Linked DNA regions of Mus musculus. The protein of the gene in region 1 purifies or fractionates together with the protein of each later gene. This does not show direct contact. Links are inferred from orthologs where the notes say so. Each region holds a gene or a part of one and is shown on either strand. Other genes may lie near its edges.

Region 1 (11,671 bases):
CTGGAGAAAGCCTCAAGTAGGCCTGGCAGCCCAACTGCAGATCCCAATTCCATCCCGCTGGTGCTATGTGCAGATCTTAACTCATTGCCAGATTCAGGTATTTACCACATCTTTTTTCCCCTTGCTTTCAGTTTCACATTTAGTCTTGATTGGAAGACCATCCAGCTCCTACAGAGCTCTTCTAAATTAAGGAACATACCAGTTGGAATTTGAGAGATGAGACAGTAACTAATTGATAAACAAACAAACAAGGAAACTGCTTCCAAAGGAGGGTTCAGGCTTAATTAAGTGAAACAAAACAATGAATATTTTTGTACTTTAACCATTACTACTCTTGCTCTTAACTGGAAAAAATGGTATGAGATGTCCCCAGACTTTGGAAGTGTTGTATTTATAGACGAGGGTCAATAATTGACGTGATGGCTTGGAATTGAATGGTACAATCGGTGCCTGCCAAATTATAAGAAGGGAGCTGGGGGAAGAGAATGCCCTCTCTCACTCTGCTCTCACCTTTCCATCTTCTGCCAGGGCTGCCCATTAATCAAGTCCAGGCAGAAGCTATGGGGGGTAGGGGAATATTTGCACCAATGCGAGATTAACCTCCCGAGGCACAGAGTTAAGCAAAGGTGGACACTCTTTAGAGAATATTCATCACAGATAGCTGTCTCACTTAATAATATTGGCAGGTTCTCTGTGATCTTTATATACTTACTACTAGTTTTAGAAGAATGATCACAGTTCTAGCAAGGTGGTATATCACACCACTGGACTACTTTATGTCTGGATATCATCTTTGTAAAACTTAGTTCTCCATTTTAGATCCTGAATTTCAAATGCAAAACAAAAGAATGTAAGTCTGTATTATTAGCAAAACATATTCCAAATATTACATATTATTAATAAGCTGTTAATCCTTACCAGGAATCAAATCCAAGCTTATTGCATGTTAGGCAAGCATTCCTAGCCATCAATAGTACAAATATAAAATACCCATATTTGGAAATTGTAAATAGTCACTGAATTTAGAAAATATCTGTTCGTAGTAAGTAAATGATGAGATTTTTGCAAATACTTGGTTTTGATCTCTAGGCCAGTTTGCCCCTCCCAATCCCATGTGTATGTGCACGGATACATTGTGGTATGTGCATGTGTGTATGCTCACCCACTCAATAGAAGTCAGCCTTGTGTGTTCCTCAGGTGTCATTCCTTGTTTGTCAGATTGGGTCCCTGCCAGTCTAGGGATCACCAAGTAGGCTAGGCCTACCTAGTTGGCCAATGAGCCCCAGGGATTGTCTGCTGTACACCCCCAGTGCTGGTATTACAAGAGCTCTCCACTATAATTGACTCTTTTTTTCTCTGGTTCCGAGGCTTGGACATGAGCATCATGCTCATGCTTGTATGATAGTCACTTTACTGACCGAGTTGTCTCTTCATCCCACATCCCTCTTTCTTAATTCTCTACAAAAAATAATCATTTAAGTTTCTCTAAAAGTACAAGTTTTTGTTGTATTATTTCACATGATTTCCTAAAACCATTTATGATAGCTATTAATATCACTGTTACCATAGCATAGCTCATTGGCTCAAATCACACTGTTAGGGTTGGACCCTGATTATTTCTTAGCAGCTATACATGTTATTCATTATGGATAAGGGGATAAACGTATTATTGGTCTCATTAAATTGTTTGTATGCCTAGCATATCATAAATGCTAGATAAATTGTGGTTCCTTTTGAGTTATTCACGACACTGATACTCATTTTCCTTCATATTTTGTCATCCTTAATTGTTAATAGATGAATTTAACATTATTGCAAAGTAATTATAAAAGGGGAGAGAGAGTTTTGTTTGCTAATTTGGTGGAAACTTGAAGCTGATACCACTATCAACTTTTTATACACATCTAATATTTTTGGTCTCTGGTATAAAATGTTTTTCATAGGTGTCAGACTGAGACTTAGTTAACTCAAAATAAATGAGGGTTGGAGAGATGGCTCAATGGTTAAGATCATGGCTGTTTTCCTAGAGGGATGGGGTTTGATTCCTAGCACCCACATAGTGGCTCACAACCATCTGTAATCAGTAATTCAGGTACTAGGGAACCTGATAACCCTCTTCTAACCTGTGGAGACAGACTTGCAACTAAAACACTCATCTACATAAAATAGTAAGATAAGAATTAGAAAATAAAGATTTTTCTAAGCTAACCTTGGACATTGCATTGTTGAGGATGAAAAACCTGTTTTTATTGCAAATAATTTTTTATTATAAGTGTTTTTTTATTTTTTTATATTTTCCTATGTTGTTGATTGACTATTTTGAGTACTGCTAAAGACATAGTAGTTTAGAGTAATATTACCAAAGCAGTTAATGTCAAGACCTTTCTGGTGAATGCTCTCTAGATTCTAGAAGTCATCTGAACCTAAAGAACTACTAAGGTTAACAGTATTCCTAGTGATCCTGATACTTTTTCTGAAGTAGGCAAATGCCTTTTAGTGATGTTAAGTTATATGAAATTGCTAGTGTTTAAGAATTTAAACACCAGCAACAAGAACCCATTATTTTATTTGTTTTGTTTTTGAGACGGGATCTCTTTACAGAGCCCTGGCTTGCCTGGAGTTTCCTGTGTAGACCAAGCTGTCCTGGACCTTAGAGAAAACAGCCTGCCTTTCTGCTTCCTGGGTGCTAGGATTAAAAACATGTACCACCAAGCCCAGCTAAGAATTTTATAGGATTTAAGCAAACTCTAACCATCGTGTGTCTATAGAATAAGATTTAGTAATACAGCTTTGCTGTAAACATTAAAGGGTAGTGTTCTTTATTCTGCTAGGTGTTGTGGAATATTTAAGCAACGGTGGAGTAGCTGACAACCATAAAGACTTCAAGGAACTAAGGTACAATGAGTGTCTTATGAACTTCAGCTGTAGTGGAAAGAATGGAAGCTCAGAAGGGAGAATCACACATGGCTTCCAACTTAAGAGCGCCTATGAAAATAACTTGATGCCTTATACCAATTACACCTTTGATTTCAAAGTAAGTAGCAGTCTGTGGACTAGCATCTGAACTATTTCAAATAAAAGCATGCACATAGAAAAGTAAACCCTGATGATGAAGAGTTTTCAGGGCTGCCGGTGGTGGTGGTGGTGGCGGCACATGTCTGTAGGATTGGCTAAAGAGTCTGCAGGGCTCTGGCCTCTGCCAGACCAGGCAAGCAAATGTTTCACAGACATACATGCAGGCAAAATACAGAAATAAAAGAAGAATTAGCATCGAATCAAAAACAAGCAAACAAATACAAACTAGTTTAGTGTCTGGCTTAAATATACAACTAAACAAGGAACTTTGTTGGGCTTCATGATCACAATTGATGTCATTTAAATTCTTTTTTTAAACTTTTATTTGTTGACATTTCAGATAATAGTGATAATAGCTCATAGTTCTAAAACTTTTTTACTATGTATCACTGTTGACATTCAATCAGTCTTTACCTGTTTATTACCACCTGTGCTTAGCAAGAATTTTAGCACCTGATATAGCTAAGCTTCCCTGGAATGAACATACACTATTCTGTCAAAAGTTTTCTTTGAATATCTTATTTATCTTATGATTTCCCAAGTTTCCTGTAGGAGTAGAGTTAGAGATTGTACTTAATGTCAGTCTTATCTCTGTAGTTGCATTAGTATATTCCCATGTCATCCATGGAACACTTCAATTTTTAAAAGAAAAGGAAGTCCTGCTGTTCATGTTCAGAACAAGATGTTCCTTGATGAACTGATGGCAACGGCTCATTGTGGTTACTCCCCTTTTGTTTATTTCCTGATCATTTTGTCTACTTGTAGCTATTGCCTTTACCTCTATTTGACTTTCTGTCATTTTCAGAATGAGTTGTATATCTTGTTCTATCCTAAAAAATACATATATAGAGGAAGTTGTTTAGTATACAAAGCTTAGAGAATTTATAATATAATACAAAAGGGAAATATTAAATAGGCTCATTCACATTTTCAATAACCTTTTTCCTTTTTTGTTCTGTTTTATTTTTTGAGACTGGGTTTCTCTGGGTAACCCTGGCTGACCAGGAACTGACTATGTAGACCAGGCTGGCTTCAAAATCATAGAAATTAACTCCCTTTGCCACCTGTGTGCTGGGATTAAAGGTTGAAACCACCGTGCCAGCCTCCTTTTTTCATTTTTTTATTCTTTTGAAACCAAGACAGGAGGAAGAAAGATTTGTGTTTTGATATTAGTCAGCTTTAATAGAAATGGGACAAAAACTGCTTAGAAGTTAATATAGTTTTACTAGTACATAAATCTATCCGCTTATAGCTTGCATTGTTTTGGTCACTCATACATGGTGATGCACAGTTAAGCATTTAACTAGCTCTCTGGGGTAAATAAGCCTTGATTGGTAGTGTTTTCTGTGGATTATGTGCTTGTCCGATCTGATGTGATACGTTTGTTCACATTGTTGCGAAAGGTATTGTTCAAGTTAGAAATCACCAGCTCTAGTATTTTGTAGAAGTTGAAAGAAATACTTCTGAACTTAACTTAGTGATATATAGTTTAAATCCTATGTTTATAATTATAATATATAATATTGCAAACATAACCCAGAAGAACTAATAAAAGCTCTCCAAAATACGTGTTCAGTAACTAGCTGTTATTATTGTCTTAGTATACAGTAGGTTAAGAGAAAATATTACTTTTTCCATACTTTTTAGATTCTTACTTTTTAACTTGTCCATAAACTATTAGAAAAAAAATTGGCATATTAGTTTAAGCCTTGATTTTCTGAGCTGGTCTAAAATCACTATTTCTTTAACATATCTTCAATGCATCAGGTGTTATAGCACATACCTGTAATCTCAGCATGTGATAGGGTGAGGGTCTTGAAGTCAAGCCTAGCTGGATTACATAGCAAGGCCTTGTTACATTAAATGAATAAATGAATAAATTTCACATGTAGAAATACTTCTTTCTGCTTGAGTATGGGCTCTTTGCTATAGTTAAATACTAGGTTAAGTGAAGTCTATGCAGCTTGGATTAGTGAAGGCACATTAGTTTTGCTATTTACTAATCCCATAAATTAAATCATCTAGCTCTGGGAAATAGAATAAATGTTATAATACAAGTATGTGTCTGCATGTGCATGTCTCTTCCTGCTAATGGATATTTTGCTTCAGTCCAGAACTTGTAGAAATGAATATTTTGAAGTAAATAAATTTAGACAGTTAACTGTATAGTATGTTAGACTTTACTAAACCAAGAAAGTCTTTTAGAGGTGCCTAGACATACATTTGTGTGTTTAGCATTTTTGTTTTATAATTTATGTACAAATGTAAAACTTTTTGATGCAGTAAGATGCTGTGTTTCTTTATTGAGCCACGTTTATTCATATAATAACCCATCAAACATTAGAGCCTTGTTGAATCTACAGTCAGAGTAACAGGTATCGGGAATTACAGGTTTTCTTATTTAGATTTTTCCAAAGAAAAAATTGTTCTTTTCATGGAGTTTTTCTCTTTTTAAACATATTTTCCTTTCCCCTTGTGTTCTCCCTAATCTCTTTCCAGGGTGTGATTGACTACATTTTCTATTCCAAGACTCATATGAACGTGCTTGGTGTCCTGGGGCCTTTAGATCCTCAATGGCTGGTTGAGAACAACATCACTGGGTGTCCACACCCTCACATCCCTTCAGACCACTTCTCACTGTTAACACAACTTGAACTCCACCCTCCACTCCTGCCTCTTGTCAATGGTGTTCACTTGCCTAATCGGAGGTAGTGGAGTACAGCCCCGCAGAGACGGGGATCTGTCGCTATGGACCTGTACAGTTGTAAATCAAAGTATGTAGGAGTGAAGTATGGCCATCTTTAACGCTGCTTCTTCAGGTTCCTTTCACTATGTGTTTGCTATAAGACTGTATATTTTTGTGCATACTGATATCATTTGGCACTAGGGCTGGAACCAAAGTATTGCTGTCTGTCTCTATCCAAAAGTTTAATACACTTTAAAATTGGATTTATTTTCCTATTATATTAGGAACCAACATTCACGATTGATAAATCACTAATTTGAGACCCCACACCATTGTTGTTCTCTAAAAACAAATACATTCTTTTGAATGTTTTCAAATAAGCCAATCATTTTTGTAAAAGGTGATTTAAAAAAAAAAAAAAAACTCCAAATACAAGATTTTCAATTGAATGATGGTATGCCTTATAGGAAAAACTTTGAGTTTCTGTTTTCTTTCATAACAAGCTGATTTTTGGCTCTCAAGTCATTTGCACATTATCAAAGCACTTAAATTTGCTTGATTTGTACATTAAATTTGATATAGCCACTAGCTATAACAAGACAATTCGGGAAATGAAAGACAATTGCATAACATGCTTTAAAATCAAGCATAGTATGTGACAGTTTGTTGGCCAAATGCTGGTTGTTTTGTTTGAGGAATCTTTTCTCTTCTCTTCTTTTTTCCTTTTCCTTTTCCCTTTCTCTTTTCTCTTTTTTCTTTTCTTGTCTGCCTGTTAGTCCTAATCTCTTTAGAAGTATTAACTTTAAGCCCATCTCTCAAGTTCATTTATAAGGAAATAGCAGATAATACTGCCATATATCTTGAAAGTAAAATTTGGTATTTTTAGGATGCCCACAAAATTAGTGTCTGGTATTTTTCATTTTCGTGCCCAAACTTTTATTTTCTGTCCGGTTGTACTGGAAAAATATGATCTATATCTTTACCACTACAGTTTAACACTTAAGGAAAATTGCTGAATGAAAAGCCCCTGGTCAGTTTCAGAAAGGGCAAGCCAGATAATATTATACGTGTTTTCCAAAGTAAGTAAAATGGCTGTTTGTTTGTTGTTTTGGTTTTTTTTGTTTCATTTTAAGGTAACAGTAGAGATGATTTAGAGGAAAGGACAGATTTGGGGACATAATTGAAAACCTTGGATCACTTTTTTCTGACTCTAGCTGCCAAATGGCCATCATATGCTTTTAATCTTCGTTGCCATACTGTCTAGATTTGAATTAAGCTACTGTTTTATTCCCAAAGTTTGATGCCTCTATATGTATTGGGAAACACCACCACCACCACCATTTATTGTTGGCCAGGAGGTGCCACTTGAGAATCTTACGTAAGAGGCAGAGAGCATAAACACCATTTGTGGGGAGAAAATTAGTTGGCAAAATTAGAAAATGTTAATTATGGCACAGTAACATTGGAAAAGGTTGTGTCTGTGTTTTTAAGTTTTTCTTTATTCTGCTTTTTTGCTGCTATAAGAGTTTTCTGAAATTTATATTGTAAACTTTTCATGCACTTTACTGTTTCTAGTATCAAAATGTGATATTTTTAATAAACAAGAAATTTTCCATTATGTGATGAAATTTAAAAAGAAAATAACCTATATTTGTGTCTCACTAATATATAAAGTACAAGTCAAATTTAAATTATTTAATTAGCTTTAAATATATACAAATTGTCTCCTCTTCCAAACCTGACCTCTTAGGCTGTTTTATTAGTCTTAAATGATACATTTCCTGTGGTCATTTTATACTAATTTCTTCCATAGTTTACTGATCAGGCTATATAAAAGAATATTTCCCGAAGGGTAATTTTAGTGGGATGAGGGTGGTGGGGTGATGTAATATCACGCAGGATTGCATCCAGAAGAGCTCTGTAAAGCCTAAACTCCCTTTAAAAAGTGCCTAGTGACAGAGGCGTTGTCATCTATTGTAATTGGAATGTCATTGTAGTTCAGCAAAGTTTGATGTAAATAAAATATTCTTTTAAAAATGTTAAAGTACCTGAATAAACAAACAAAAGAAACCCTTGATGACAGATTTTCCTCAGTGTTCAGGTATCCCTTCTTATATACCTCAAGCATCCAACATCTAGCCATGAAGATTGATTACCTGACGCATAGTACTGGAAAGTAGAATAGCATGAAAAACTTAACTGTGTGGACATTACCTTTTTCTGTAATCAGCTACTGTCTGTTTAGTTTTCTCCTGTTTCGGGTGGGCTTTCTTCTCTGGAGGTATGTGCACTAACAGAACATCCTTCTTTTTTTCATAGATGCATGTTAACTAGCAATGTGAGCAATATTTCCTACCATACTTCACTCCCAATATTTTTGAGATGTTTGTATAAAATGAAATTTAAAGTTCACTTATGATTGTATATGAACCACAGAGGAGCCCATTTATTAATACAAATCTTTTTTAATAGTTAAATGTAGAGGGGGAAAATAAAAAAATGGGAAACATTGTAAACAGCTTAAGTTTATTTTGTGTATGATCGAGGCACTCTGTTGCAAGAAGGTGTGTAATTGGGTCTCTCTGCTTCCAAATGCACTCTTTCAAACCATTCATTATCCTGTGTATTTTAATGTGGTTTTCGTAAATGTTGGTAGTAGCTCTGTTGAAGTAGGTGATTGTGTTTTGTTTTGGGTGGCACACACCTAGGGCATGGTATCCCAAATTTCATGTGCACGGTTTCCCTTTAGCCTCTTGCCCAAATTTAACACACTGTTTCCCCTCGTTCCCTTTGTAAAAGGAGTGGTATCTTGTTTTGAGCTGCCAGTTCAGATGATCAGAAATGCTGCTGTCCTCAGCATTGTCTTGTTAAATGCATGCCATTTGGAACTTTGGCAGTGAGAAGCCCAAAGGACAAGGTGAATGACGTGATATATATTCGATAAAAGTGAAATATATATACTCATATACTTTCTAGTTCTCAGAATAAGTTAATAAGCTTTATGCCTTTGGGCTGCTGCATATTTTATCTGATAAGAGAAAATTTGGGCATTTTTAGATTGTGCTATGTATTTTTTTAAATGTTCAATATGATTTCTGGTAATTGTCTTAAGAACTGGAGTGTTAAGTTTATTAAAATGGTGTTGTTTGAAGAAGGGGAAACTGCACTGTTTGCCATTATAAAAGTAATACAAGTGCATGTCCCGTCACCCACTGTCAGGCATCAGTATCCTCATAGCTTTACACACTCTGATGGGGAATATTGCAGCATTCTCAGGACTGACATCTGGAAAAGGCTCAAATCACTTACTGCTCCTTGCTTGTTGACTTTGTTTTACAATATTGTGCCTGGTGTCAACTTTTAAGCAACAGCACTGCCTAAAAGCAAGCAGAGAACAGAATCCCAGCACCATTCTATAGGCAACTTTTTAGAATTCAGATACAGTAAATCTGTTCAAGATTTATGATGTTTTATGTAAAAAAAATTTTGTACTACATAGCTGAATATTTTTGTTTGATTTATTTGATGTAAGGCGTGTGAACATTCATTTGAATATCACATGTTAAAGTCAGGTATGGCACAATGGGCTCTGAGACCAGCTTCCCCCCGCACCCCCCCCCCATTTGCCTTGTTCTAATCTCTTTCTTTTCAAATTGCATTTCTGGTATTCATAAGCAGATATTTAATTTTACTAATAAGCATCCTGTGTGAATGTACTTTAAAAGCCACTATGTTTTAGTGTTATGGTTTGTAGAATTATGAAACTTACCTTCTCCCCCTCCTTTTTTTGTCTTAAAGTCATAAATCTCTGAGAAGGGAGAAAGTTAAAATCCAAGACTCATATCACTTGAATCTGTGGCAGATTATGTTAAAATTGAGGGTGTGGCAATTAAACCTAGAACATGGACAATATTGTGCTGTTTAAAAATTCTGTCTCCTGAGTATGTCTTGTCAATAGGTGAAATTTTAAGTCTGTATTGTACTTCCAAGAATTAGTAAAACTCGCAAATACCACCTGTATACTCAATAGCGAATAGCAAAGGGAAGGGGAGCACACAGGAGTGGTAGGTCAGGTATGCGCCTGGAAGGGGTTAGAGAGCGCCATCTCTAACACAGGCTACATTCCCCAGTGGTAAAATTTGATGTTGGCTTAATACCGATTTAAAATTTCATCTTTTATATTCTTGTGTTTTTTGAAATATTTTAATAGTTTTGCAAAGTATACTAACTGGTTCGTAGCTTCAGTCACAGAAAACAAATTGTATTTCAGTAATGGTCCTGTAGCAAGCAAGAATTCTTTGTTACATGTTCTAAGTAACAAACATTTTGACTGAAAAGTGAGCTGTTGTGTTTGTAAGGTTTTCTTCTTCTCTCCACCCATAAAACCCAAAGTAACACCTTTCTAATGTGTTAAAAATTTGTTTACCGACTTTTATTTGGTTTGTATCCTATTTGTATGACTTTTGCGTATTAGAAGTAGATAGATTAGGTAGAGACATTAGACTTATTTTTCTAAATCAGGAACTTAAACTGAAGTTTTGAATTTGTAGACAGAGGACATTTATGCTTATGATTGTTCTGGAAGATTTTAATTTCTGTAAATGCACCATGATCCCCAAATTTAAAATTCAAACACAAGTAAATGATAGTACATCTTTAACCTGCTTATTTACCAAAGTTTAAGAATAGGGTGCCAAGAGCATCTTTCATAATTGTCACCTGAATGCTTAAAACGATAAAAGAAAACCCTTATGTGTTCTGAGCAAGAGCCACAGAAAGAAAACTAGGAAGGGAAGCAGAAGGGTGGGAGCCTGCTCAGGAAGAGGATACGGAAGAGCATGTATGCTTGTTCTGACCAAAGGCATTCGTGTCGACGTCTCAGGTAAAAGGCCTGGAGGAAGAAGCAGATTCCAGGGGAAGTTTTATTAACCCAGTAATTTTGGCATAAGTTTGGTTAACTTGATTTATTCTAGATTTGATTTACTTTTGGATCCAAAGGACAGACTGAAAGTACTCTTTATTTAGTAAGATAAGCTAATTTTCAAAGGATATGAATTAAGGGCGTGCCTATTAAATGTTGACTTTTATGGTGCAGCCTATAAAACAGATAGCACTGAACTGAAATTAGAAGTGTGCCATCAGAAGCCATGACGCCTGGAGCGGTGGCATGATGCACCTTTCAGGATGACATGTGTTCCTGGTTATTTTCTTCAGCGGGATCCCTGCATTTGTTTGTTTTCCGTTTATCTGTCCCTTGGAAAATCATGGTAGCATCCCTCTGGAAGGTGACCCTTGCTCACGATTTCAGAGGACTCACATATTTTCTTAGCTATTATTGTTCTGTGTACCACGTTGTTTAATTTGTGTGTGTAGTTACTTGAACTCAGACTATAGGCTCAATACTGGTGTGCCAAACAATGGCTCTGCTTCTTATGGTACAGACTTAGTGTCCTGCTTACTGTTTCAACTTTAATGCGGTAAGTGTTGCAGTGTGTGGGTTGCTCTTTATTCAGAAACTACTGTCCTTTCTCTGTGCTTAACTTGCTAAAAGTAAATTCCCTTACCTGTGTAATTCCTGAGCGGTGCTCTGCTGACCTTTGAGAGAGGAGGGGTTTGGATGGCTGTTACTACACACTGGATCTGGAATTGTTCAGTGTTGTGAGTGGCAGATTTCTTAAACACCAGCAGCACTGAGAAGTGCACTACGGGCATTTGTAAAGTTAGTTGTCCAAATGCAAGCAGTACTTTCATCCAAAAGAAGCTGAGGTGTGTTGGGTTCAATAGGAGTACTTTGAGTATCTCAAGGAGGACAAATGATTAACTCTGTTGTATCTGAAGTGGGGTAGCCCTTTCTCCACCCCCCTTGTGTTTTTGTTTTCTAAAGATAAAATATACCCTTTTGCTTTCTTT
Region 2 (11,215 bases), on another chromosome or scaffold:
AGGTCTCAGGAACTTGGAGGTGTCTAGCTGTGTGAGTTCTGAAGGCCCAAGCGAGGCTAGAGAGAATGTTGTAGGACAGATGGGCTGGTCAGACAGCCTGGGCTTGAACAATGGAGATCTGGCCAGGCGTTTAGGAACTGGAGAGTCTGAGGAGCCCAGGAGCCTGGGAGTTGGGGAAAAGGACTGGACTTCCAGCGTGGAGGCGAGGAACAGAGATTTGCCAGGGCAGGCAGAGGTAGGAAGGCACAGCCAGGCCAGAGAGAGTGGTGTGGGGGAGCCCGACTGGTCAGGGGCAGAGGCCGGAGAGTTCCTTAAGTCAAGAGAGCGTGGAGTTGGACAGGCAGATTGGACACCTGATCTTGGATTGAGAAACATGGCCCCAGGAGCAGGCTGCAGCCCTGGAGAGCCCAGGGAACTTGGGGTGGGTCAGGTAGACTGGGGTGACGATCTAGGCCTGAGGAATTTGGAGGTGTCCTGTGACCTAGAGTCGGGAGGCTCTCGGGGCTGTGGAGTTGGGCAAATGGACTGGGCCCAAGACTTGGGACTCCGGAACCTTAGGCTCTGTGGGGCCCCAAGTGAAGTTAGGGAATGTGGGGTGGGGAGAGTGGGCCCTGACCTAGAGCTAGATCCCAAGAGTAGTGGTAGCTTGTCCCCTGGTTTGGAGACTGAAGACCCGTTGGAAGCCAGGGAGCTGGGGGTTGGTGAAATAAGTGGGCCAGAGACACAGGGTGAAGACAGCTCGTCACCTTCCTTTGAGACTCCTTCTGAAGACACTGGAATGGATACGGGAGAAGCACCCAGCTTGGGAGCCAGGTACGGTTCTCCATCTTGGAGCTGGGAGGGAAGGTGTGACTGTTCTTTAAATAAGGGGCCTCTCTGAGGAGGGAAACCCAGCTCTCTCAGTGGACTCTAGTGTTTGGAAAACAGAGTCCTTTAGGGCCGTGACTGTTCAGTTCCACGTTTTATATTTTATGATGAACTTTGAAACACAAAAGTTAAATGCATTCTATTTTAGAAGATGAATGTAAAATTTGAGGCACCATTTTGGGCTTTCTCAATGCGTGAGTTATGGCTGTCTAGGGAAGTAGAACCTGCTACATCTTTGGTTTCTGGTGAGCTAACACTCTCTCTTTCTCTCTCTCTCTCTCTCTCTCTCTGAGAGTTTGTGTGTGTGCAGGCACATATTTACAAGCTTCTGTGCCTGTGGAATGACACTACCTCTGCTGTCATCTCTGTCACTGTCTTATCTTTTTGGGGACACATTGTCTCACTACTCTGAAACTTGCCAAGTAGGCTAGGTTGGCAGGCCAAGGAGCCCCAGGCGGGTCACCTGGCTTCTGCCTCCCCAATGCTGGTATTATAAGCATATACCACTGTGTCTGGCCTTTTTTACTCCCGCAAAGCAAAGCAAAGCAAAGAGAAGACACCGTGGGATCTGGGGACTGTGCTCAAGTGTTCACTCTTGCAAGGGAAGCACGTCACCAAGTGATGTATCTTCCTAGTATGGTTTCTGCTGAGCTCTGTCGGCTTCAAGCTCTGATGGAAAATGAGCTCCTGGAATGCTTGCACAGGTAGTGGAAGGAACCCTGTGGAAGCCCAGGTTACCGAAGCCTATGTTATAGTGGACGGTGACTCTGCTCGTCTGATCAACGGTTTGGGAACTCAGGAATCTCGCCTGCTCTTGTCGTAGTACCCAGAAGAGCAGTGGCCGAGGAATCTGAAGTTGTTGAGAACCAAGTCCCTGCCCTGTGACCTTGACCCCCAACCCTTTTTCTTTTCTTTGCCCTGGCTGACCTCGAGACACTCTAGGTAGGCCATGCTGGCCTCAAGTTCAGAGAGATCGGCTTGCTTCTGCTTGCTGAGTGCTGGGATTAAAGGCATGCCACGTGGGAGGCAGGCTGGTAAGAACCAACCAGTCTGTCTCATGGCTGTTCTAAAACCAACCCACATGGTTTCCATAGCTTGTGAAAAGGGTACTTCCGGAAAGGCACTGCTTCTCGTCCGTTAGCATTTTCATGCCTTGGGATTCGGTTTTCTTCTCTTCAGTGTGGAGAACGCTTTACCTTTCTCAGGCCCAGAGTGGGAGCTTCCATGTGGGAAGGGAAGGAGAGGGAGGTGTTGGGTGGGGGCTGTTCTAAGTGGAAGGGCAGATGGCAGTGGGAGGAGAGCAGGAGGGACCAGGAAGGGACTGGGAGGCTCCGGGTGGGGACTGAGAGAGGCATTTGGCATGGAGGTGGAAGAGGAAGAGAGCTCAGGGTTAGGAAGGGAGCTGAGGCAGGGTGTTCTCAGACCACTCATCGGGTTGAGAGGAGGGGTAGGGGACAGGGAGTGGCTGAGGTTGCAATGGCTGTCAGTAGGGGCTGGGAATTTGCAGATCTAAATGGTGGGGGCGAGAGGGGGTGTGTGTTCCTGTGCGCCTGGACTGGTTGTTGGACTCTGAGCTTCTGTTTTACCAGTGTCTGTGGGAGGCTCAGGGTTCCAGCAGCAACAGTCCTGGCAGAAGGGAACACAGGTTCTGTGTCCTCGGTTTTCTTCCTGGGACTCAGCCCTCTCTGCCTGAGTGTTCAGCGGTGCATTTTACTGCCCGGATCTTCATGGCTGCCCCATGTGGCAGGAGAGGGACTTTGATCCTGGCCTCTTGTGAAGTTGAGAGATGGTGTGACCATCTTAAGGTGGTAGAGGCTCCCCTACTGATTCTTGGGCATCTCAAGTCTCTGTCAGGTTCTTGAGGTGTCCTCCACCTTCCGACTCCCTCTCATAACCGCTTTCAGGTGTGGCCACTATTCAAAGCAGATTTCTAAGGAGTGGGGGTCTGCCGGCTGCCCCACTGGGGTTGGTTCTTGAAGAGGGAGAGCAGCATTCTCTTCTCTGTTCAGGATGGATGGAGGAGGCTCCCTGCAGGCTTAACAGGACAGTGGCAGCTTGAAGATGGCTTTGATGATGAGGCTTCTGGAGGCTCCCACTAAGCAGCCATGTGTTTTTGGACACAGCTACATGGTCATCTGAGCTTAGAATTTATCCCAGGCACGAGCACCTGAATCTCATTGTATATAACAGAAAACATGTTTCATCCACAGCTGGAAGGAAATCACTGTTTGGGTGTATGCTGTGTTTCTGATACATGTCCTTTCTGACACAGTACCATGTTTGGAGAGAGCTGTGTGCTCTGTGGCCATGCACGTGACTCAGTGTCTAATATCTAGGACTTGAAGTTGAGCAAAGTTTTCCAGACTTACCTGACTAATGTCTGGTGAGCTGGTGCTATGAGCGTCTAATGTGGGGAAATAAATACACCATGGAGTGCTTACCTTTCAAGAAAAATTTGGCGATTTCCTTTGTATCAGGAAACCCTTGAGAATGGGTCAGAGTAGTCTGGCTTGGAGCCCATGTGGTAGTCCTGACTCTCTACCCACCTCTGTGACCTCAGGTGAGTAACCTGAAGCACTGCCTTTTCTCCTCAGGGTGCCTTTGGCCTTCTCAACCTCAGGACCCATATCGTCATAGGTAAACTGAGAATTTACTCCAGGCACTCTTGGAGTTTGCATGAAGAAGGTTTACACGTGTAAAGTGATCGACCCTGCCTCTCCTGGCCTAATTGCTTAGACAAACAACCAAACAAACCAAAAACAGAAACCCAAAAAAACTAGTCTCCTGTATTTTTATCTGTTTTGCAAGTGTGGATGTGAAGTGTCCAGAAAGGGAGGCCCCTTGGGGATATTTTTGTTGCTGCCCTCATGTTGAACAAATACACTGTGGATGGCAGTCATTTGGTCAGACTGCTGGCAGGAATAACTATGATAAACTAGCATGGTGTGGGGGTGCGCTTCAGCCTGATCTAGGGCCATCTCATCCTGGAGAGAGTGGCACTTCTGGGGCTGCCAGAGCTGTGCAGGATCCTTATTTTCTGGTCTCTTGGTCATTCCTTGCTCCTGCCCTTTGGACCCCACAATACAAACCCTTCCCAGCCAGTTTGAAATCTTTGTAGGTTCTAGGAAGACTCAAAGGTCATTCAGTCTGGCTACCGCATTTCAGGGATGGAGAAACCGAGGCGCAGAGGGAGAGTGTGGTTTACACAAGTTCCCACTGCTTGTGATTGTGAGTGCCTCTCTGTCCGTGTGGGCCCTAACTTTCTGAGTCCCCTCCATGTTCCTCTGTGGTATCTTTGTCCCTTCAGATGCATCATCCCAGCCCCTGGAACTGATGCTTCCTCATTCCAAGTCTTAGAGCCGGAAACACCAGGGCGAGTTGCAGATCTCTCCCCTGAATTTGCATCCGAAACAGTGGTGGAGAGTAGTGTTGGACAGTTTGGGTGGTAGCCACGTTGGGTGGTTCATGTGGAAGGTTTAGGTAAAGCGTCTTCTCAGGCGAGGAACCTCTGTCCAGAATGACAAGGACCATGGTAGCAATTTGTATCTATCAAGTATCAACTTTGTCATGGGCACACATTCCTGCTGGGAAGCCCAGTAAAGTTCTGGGACTTTTATGGCTCCCATTTACCAGATGACGAAGCAGAGGCTTGGACAGGGCATGTAACTTGGGGCCGAGGCTGCTGTGGCTGCAGGACAGAGCCTATGTCTCTGTAGGCTTAGCAGGCTCAGCACCCAGATTCTTGTCCTTCCTGTCCTGCCAGGAAGCCCTTAGGTTGTGGATGACCTGGGCTCCCAGCGAGGGACGCTTCTCAGATGCAGAAGGCAGAGGCCCTTGGGTGGGTGTGCACCCCATTCCCCAGGACTCCGTATTCCGCCCACCCTTAGAGCCCACTTGACAGTTCCTTACTCCTTTCTGCCCACAGTGGGCTGAGAGTAGATCTTTCTTTCTTAGTTGGTTCACGTCCTCCCAGCGGCCTGCCTTGTTGTCTGGGCTGGGTGGGGTACCATTGCTGCCGTCTGGTTAGAGTCACCTCCCTGACTCTAAGCTGGCTTCAGGGTGAGCTGGCTTTGGCTCCCATCCAGATTTGCTCTCAAGTCCTTCGTCTTGCTGTACCGTATAGCCTCTGTCACCTCCTCCTTCCCTCTCTCCCTCCCATGCTGCTTTAATTTCCATCTGTCAGCAGCTTATGGGAGGACAGACTGACACATTTCTCCCTGTCCCTGTCTCATCTTCCTGGTAAAGACTGACTCACCTGATTCTCTACCTTCTGCAGTATCGCCAGCTACTCAGCAGCCTGGCTTCCAGGCCTTGCCCGCTAGCCTTTACTACTCCTGCTTGTGTTAGGGTGTTGCCCTGGGCTGTGCATGTAGGTGTGGCGAGTACCAGCACCCACCCACCCTATCCTAGGTGTTTGATGAGTGAGCATGTTTTAGGGAGTGGCAGCTGGACATGGTGTGGGTGATACCATCCTGGTATTTATGCTTGCTCTGAGAGAACATTGGATAGAAGGCACACTGCTGTGCTGAAGTCCAAGGTGACCCTGCCTTCTCATCATTTGTGTGGTCTCATCTATGGGGCAGAGATGCTGGGGGCACAAAGACAAACCCTTGAGGAGCCCCCAGACAGGCAATAAAGACAAACACACAGGATTGAAAGCAGTCAGAGCTGTAGGTTAGGGCTCACGGCTCTCAGGGCTGAAGGGTTGTGTAAGCTTGGGGAGAGAGCAGATGGGCCCCTTCTTGGCTTATCCCAGAAAATGTGATCATCCAGGCATGTGCTCCTGAGTGGATCTTGAACAGCAGTAACTTAGGGCAGCAGTAATAAATGCTATTTCTGGGAATGTCCTGAGTGCTGGATGCTATGCTGACAGGCGTAGGCTTTTATTTTTCTCTCACTAATGGCTCTGTAGAGGAACACTGGGTATTCACAGGCAAAGGGAATCACACAAGGGCTCAGGTACAGGTACTGTTCCTAACTCAAAAATCCAAAACCCCAAATCTGAAACTTTAAAACACATTTCTTCAGATTCACATATTTTTAAATTTCATGTGTGTGGGTGGTTCGCTTGCATGTATATCTGGGTATCATGTGTGCATGCATTGTCTGTGGGAACCAGAAGAGGGTGTCAGGTCTCCTGGAACTAGAATTAGAAATGGTTGTTAGCTGGTCCTGTCACCCCTTTAGCTCCATACGATCTGAAACTTTCTGAGCACAGCATGGTGTCACATAGAAAGGCACACCCGGCTCCAGTGGCGGGTGAGTCTGTACAAGGTAGATATGAGATTTGGTTTGGGTTTTGTTTTCCAGGTAGCTCCTCCAGGGGCTAGGGAGACAGCTCAGCCAGGAAAGCACTTACAGACTTGAGTTTGGCCCCTGGAACCCAGGAAAAAGGCTAGACGTGGTAGTGTGGTAGTCTCCCAGCGCTGGGGAGGCGAAGAGGAGAAGGTTCCTGAGACTCCCTGGCCTGCCCACTTAGCTTACCTCAGTCCCAGGCCACTGAGAGATCCTGTCAAAAGAAAAGAGAGCAGGGCCGGCAAAAGTTCTTTCTGTCTGTCAGTGTTAACGATCCAAGTTTCATCTAAGGGACTCACATGGTAGAGGCACACACGAGGAGAGGAGGGTGTGTGTTCTTTGGCTTCAGCATACAGGTTCACATGCACCGACACACAAAGGGATCTTGTTCTATGCATGTGCAAGTATTTTAAAACTTGGAAAAGTCCAGACTCTATAAGTAGACCCAAAGCATTTTGATAAAAGCTGCCCAGCCTGTAGCATGTGAAAAAAACCTGGACTGGGACCCTGCAAGCTACCAAGCAGCTCAGCCATTTCTTTGTATGCTGTATGCTTCAGGGAAGAGAAATGAGGTCTCACAGGTAGGTGAATGACTCTGGTTTCTGGCCTGTCCCTTTTTCAGCCCCAGCAGTTGTCTGACTCGCTCGCCACCTTCTGGCTCCCAGAGCCTTTTGGAGGGGATAATGACAGCCAGCAGCTCTAAGGGAGCTCCTCAGAGGGAATCAGCAGCTTCCGGCTCCCGGGTTCTGTTGGAGGAGGAAGGACTCGCTGCAGGTGCCGGCCAAGGGGAGCCCCAGGAGCCTAGCAGAGCTCCTTTGCCATCCTCGAGGCCTCAGCCTGATGGCGAAGCCAGCCAGGTAGAAGAGGTGGATGGCACGTGGAGTCTTACGGGGGCGGCTAGGCAAAATGAGCAGGCATCAGCCCCGCCCCCCCGGCGGCCTCCCCGAGGACTTCTGCCCAGCTGCCCCAGTGAGGACTTCTCTTTTATAGAGGTCAGTGGAGGGTGAGCTGGCCGTGGTGGACGGGCTGTTGGAGGGGTCAGGGTATGTGGGTGACAAAGCCCCATTCTCAGAGCTTTCCTGAGCAGTCATGGGAGACAGACATAGGCTGTGGGGTATCTCATGGCAACAAGAAACTGCAGCAGCCATCAATCAGCTCCTGGTTTATGTTGAGATGCTCCTCTGGGGTGATGTAGGGCTCCGGGTCAGCAATAGCAATGCTGTTGCTATTGTTTTGAGCAGGACACTGAGATCCTTGATAGTGCCATGTATCGGAGTCGTGCCAACCTAGGACGTAAGCGGGGGCACCGGGCCCCAGCCATCCGGCCTGGGGGTACCCTGGGACTGTCAGAGACAGCAGACTCGGATACTCGGCTGTTCCAAGATTCAACCGGTACGATCAGTGTGTTAATTGAATGGAGTCTGTGTCAGTGTCTGGCTTGTGTGTGGGTAAGGGTGGTGTCTGGCATGTTGCTCAGGTCTCGATTCACGTTCCCTAACGTTTGCAGAGCCAAGGGCCTCCCGGGTGCCATCTTCAGATGAGGAGGTTGTAGAGGAGCCTCAGAGCCGCCGGACACGGATGTCCTTGGGCACTAAAGGGCTGAAAGTCAACCTCTTTCCTGGCCTGAGCCCATCAGCCTTGAAGGTACCGTCTGATCATTCAGCACACACACCCAGCCATCTGGCCTGCCAGCCTTCTACCCAGCATTTCCAACCAACCAGCCATCCATACAGCCATGCACCTTATAGTCCCTTTTCTCATCTCTACTCTCATTGTGGGTTCTGGAAGGTTACCTTGTTCCTTGCTCGACTCTATGCAGTGTGCCAAGTTTGATGGAAGAAAGAACAGGGTGTTCTTTCATCTCAGGGCCTCCAGGGTAATGGGTGGGGGTTGAAGGGTGGGCATAGTCTACACCCAGGAGTAGCTTAGGTGAAGGGCGAAATGTAGGAATAAAGGGGGGAGTACAGCCATGGCCTGGCCTGTTCAGTAGAAGGAGTTACTTCCTGACCGTGGCTGGGAACGGGAGGTGGCTTGGGTAGGGTTTCTTGTAAGCAGTTTCTCCTAACCTTGAGGTAGGCACAGGAGTTGGCTCTGCGGTAGGAACAGACAAGTAAAAACATAGGTGTGAGAAGTCACCCCTCTTTGTTCAGCCTTGTTCACTGAATTTTGTTCATCTGTCATCTTTCTGATGTGTTCAGGCTGTGAGGATCTGCTCTGAGGGAGACAGATCTTTGGCTGTCTGTAGAAGGTTCAGGCCTGGCTCAGGGGACTGCACACTCTTGGGAAAGGCCTGGTCTTCTGAATCTTGCTGCCTGTTTATATTTCATCTGTGTCTCCTAGGCCAAGCTACGCTCCCGGAACCGCTCAGCTGAGGAGGGGGAGGTGACAGAGAGCAAATCAAGCCAGAAAGAGTCTTCCGTCCAGCGTTCTAAGTCCTGCAAGGTCCCAGGGCTAGGGAAGCCCCTTACATTACCCCCAAAGCCAGAAAAATCCTCAGGGTAAGTAACACTTCTAGGTACTTTTTTTATTTCCTGTGGTTCGGGTATTATCCTCAGAAGAGGAAACCTATTTTATAGAGGTGGAAAACTGAAATTAATTGCTTCATGTTACGTAGGGGCACCCAGACCTGCAACTGAACCCGACTGCCTCTTTTGATTGGAGGGTAGCTGTTCTCACCTTGTTCAGTTTCTTTAAACTTTGCTTTTGTGACCTTTGTACTCTGCCTTCCAGGTCAGAAGGATCGTCGCCCAACTGGCTGCAAGCCCTGAAGCTAAAAAAGAAAAAGATCTGATCAGGGGCCAAGGTGAGGCTGTGCTTCTGGGCTTGGGGGAGAGTAGCGCCTGGTATGGAGAACTTGGGAGGCCCTGTCCTGTGCTCTCTTCTAGCCCTTAGGTCCCCTCTTTCTGTGAGAGGTTGGAGGAGACAAGGGAGACCTGGTTAGGTCCCTTGGCTCCTCTAAGTTTATTCCCAAGGCTGGTGTTTATCCTGGCTCTGAAGAGGGGGAGGGGCTTCCATACCGGCCTGTATCCTATGTGTTGGACAGTCTTTCAGGTGCTGTGGTTGCCCCTATGTGTTGAGCTAGACTGTGCAGCTTAGAGCTTCTAACCTGAGGTCCTAGCAGGGACCTCCTCAGCACTGGGCTCTCATGAGGGAATCAGGATGTCCAGAGGGCAGAGGAAGCAGGGGCCTCATCTCTTCTCTGACCTTTGTCCTCTATTCCACCCAATGCAGGTCCTTCCCATCTGGCAGTCTCAGGCAGTGCCATTCCTGTGGGGTCCCCAAGTGAGGAGACAGCTGGAGCCCCACCAGGGCTCAGACTGCAGCCTCCTTTCCCCTCCACTTCTGAGGAGTGTCTGGGAGGCACATTTATGCACTTTGTATCACCGTCCCAACTTCTTGCACCCCTTCAGCCCCCAACTGGATTCCCGTGCCCAGTGGTGGGAGGTCTTGTCCTTCCCTCAGTCTCTTCCCTTTACCCTCTTTGCTTCCATCTTCTGCCTCCCTTGGGTTTTCTTTTGATACCAATTTATAGCATTTTTATAAAAGCCTTTGATTTTTGTAATGGGTGGGCTCCCACCCCAAGCCCCACCCCAGGTCTCCCTCTGCCCCACTAGGTGCCCCACAGAGACCAATGACATTTTACCACTTGAAACAATGAATAAAGTTTTTTGGGAATTGGGGTTGTCCAGGATTGTGGTGTGTGTGTGTGTGTGTGTGTGTGTGTGTGTGTGTGTGTGTGTGTGACTCGTATTCCCCCACTGTGGGGCAGCATTTGGAGAATGCTACTTCCCCGCTGTGTGAGCTTAGCTTTTCCTCCCTGTGACAAACTATTTAAACACCTCAATGGAAGAACGACATGGCTTCACTCCATCAGGGCTGGGGGTGGGGTGTAGGGGTTAGAGGGCAGGCTAGAACAGAGCAGAGACAATATGGTATCTGGGAAGCAGAGAAACCTTTCGTTTTGGGGCTAGTGGGTTTCTTCTTGCTTTTATTCTACCTGCTCCTCAGGCTGTTGGGTAGTATCGGGGACATTCAGGCTGAATCTTCCCTTTCTGGAAATGCCTCCTTAGACCACAGAGATGTGTGCTGCTAACCTAGGCTCGTCTTGGTCCAATGGACTTAGCAAGCATACTCCAGCTGCCAGGAACTCACTCAGATGTCTGTTAGACACGTCACTCCCCTTCCATTCTCTGAGCCTAGTGTCTCTGCAGGAGGGTATTCCAATTTAAACACCACTACCCCATCTCAGTAGTTTGACACAAAAATATTTATTTCTTGTTTATGGTACAGCCCTGTATGAGTTGGTAGTGGGGTGACCTGCCAAGCATTCAGAGGAGGGAGCAGGGACAGTCTTATATCACTTTGGGCTGCTATAATCCCAAATCCAATAGGCTGAGTGGCTTAGAAATGGGAATTTATTTCTGATCGATTTGTCAGCTGGGATGTCAAATCACAGTGCTGTCAGATTCCATGGCTGGTGAGAAGTTAATTCATGGTGTACAAACAGTTCCTTTTGCACTGTGTCTGCACACAGTGGAAGTGACCAAGCAGCTCCAGGCCTTTGATCATCTACTGATCTCATGGATGATGTCTCTACTCTCCGTCACTTCCCAGAAGAGACCCATTATTCCTCCTATCGTCCACTTGAGGTTAGGATTGCAACAGTCCAGTGACAGGCACTCCAGACCCACATTCCAGCCATCCGAGGTCTTTTCTCAGTATCACTTAATCAGCCATGGATAACAGTACGAGGTGCTGTTTATCCTGGGGTGCATTGCTTTCCAGCTGTGAACCCATGGAACCAGACATTTTATAGGTGTCCTGACTACACTTACAGGACAGTCAAGAGCTGGGCATTCCCAGTCCAAAGGGAGAAGCAGACAAGAAGGCAGGAGTCAAGCATTCTCAGAAGGTCCAAAGTCTTTCACCTGGAAAACAATCTTTGTCTCAAGGCTCTGCCTCTTGGGATCACCAGAGTAGAGGGCACACCTTCTAGAGCTTCTTGGTTGGTGGGCTTGCGCCCAGGGTTGATTTTTGTGGCTCTGTTGATATT

The links.
Region 2: the proteins of Cnot6l (region 1) and Tnks1bp1 purify together in Homo sapiens (affinity purification with mass spectrometry; 4 studies listed by BioGRID and IntAct, with this or other methods). This does not show direct contact. The link is inferred for Mus musculus from reciprocal best matches to the Homo sapiens genes CNOT6L and TNKS1BP1.

The regions. Positions count from the first base shown.
Region 1 is NC_000071.6:96,071,296-96,082,966, reverse strand, and holds part of Cnot6l (CCR4-NOT transcription complex subunit 6-like), read left to right. Parts: coding exon 1-97; intron 98-2,831; coding exon 2,832-3,034; intron 3,035-5,574; coding exon 5,575-5,787; 3' UTR 5,788-11,671. UniProt on the Homo sapiens protein: Has 3'-5' poly(A) exoribonuclease activity for synthetic poly(A) RNA substrate.
Region 2 is NC_000068.7:85,063,204-85,074,418, forward strand, and holds the end of Tnks1bp1 (182 kDa tankyrase-1-binding protein), read left to right. Parts: coding exon 1-813; intron 814-6,784; coding exon 6,785-7,154; intron 7,155-7,403; coding exon 7,404-7,554; intron 7,555-7,669; coding exon 7,670-7,806; intron 7,807-8,502; coding exon 8,503-8,660; intron 8,661-8,892; coding exon 8,893-8,953; 3' UTR 8,954-8,965; intron 8,966-9,393; 3' UTR 9,394-9,845; downstream 9,846-11,215.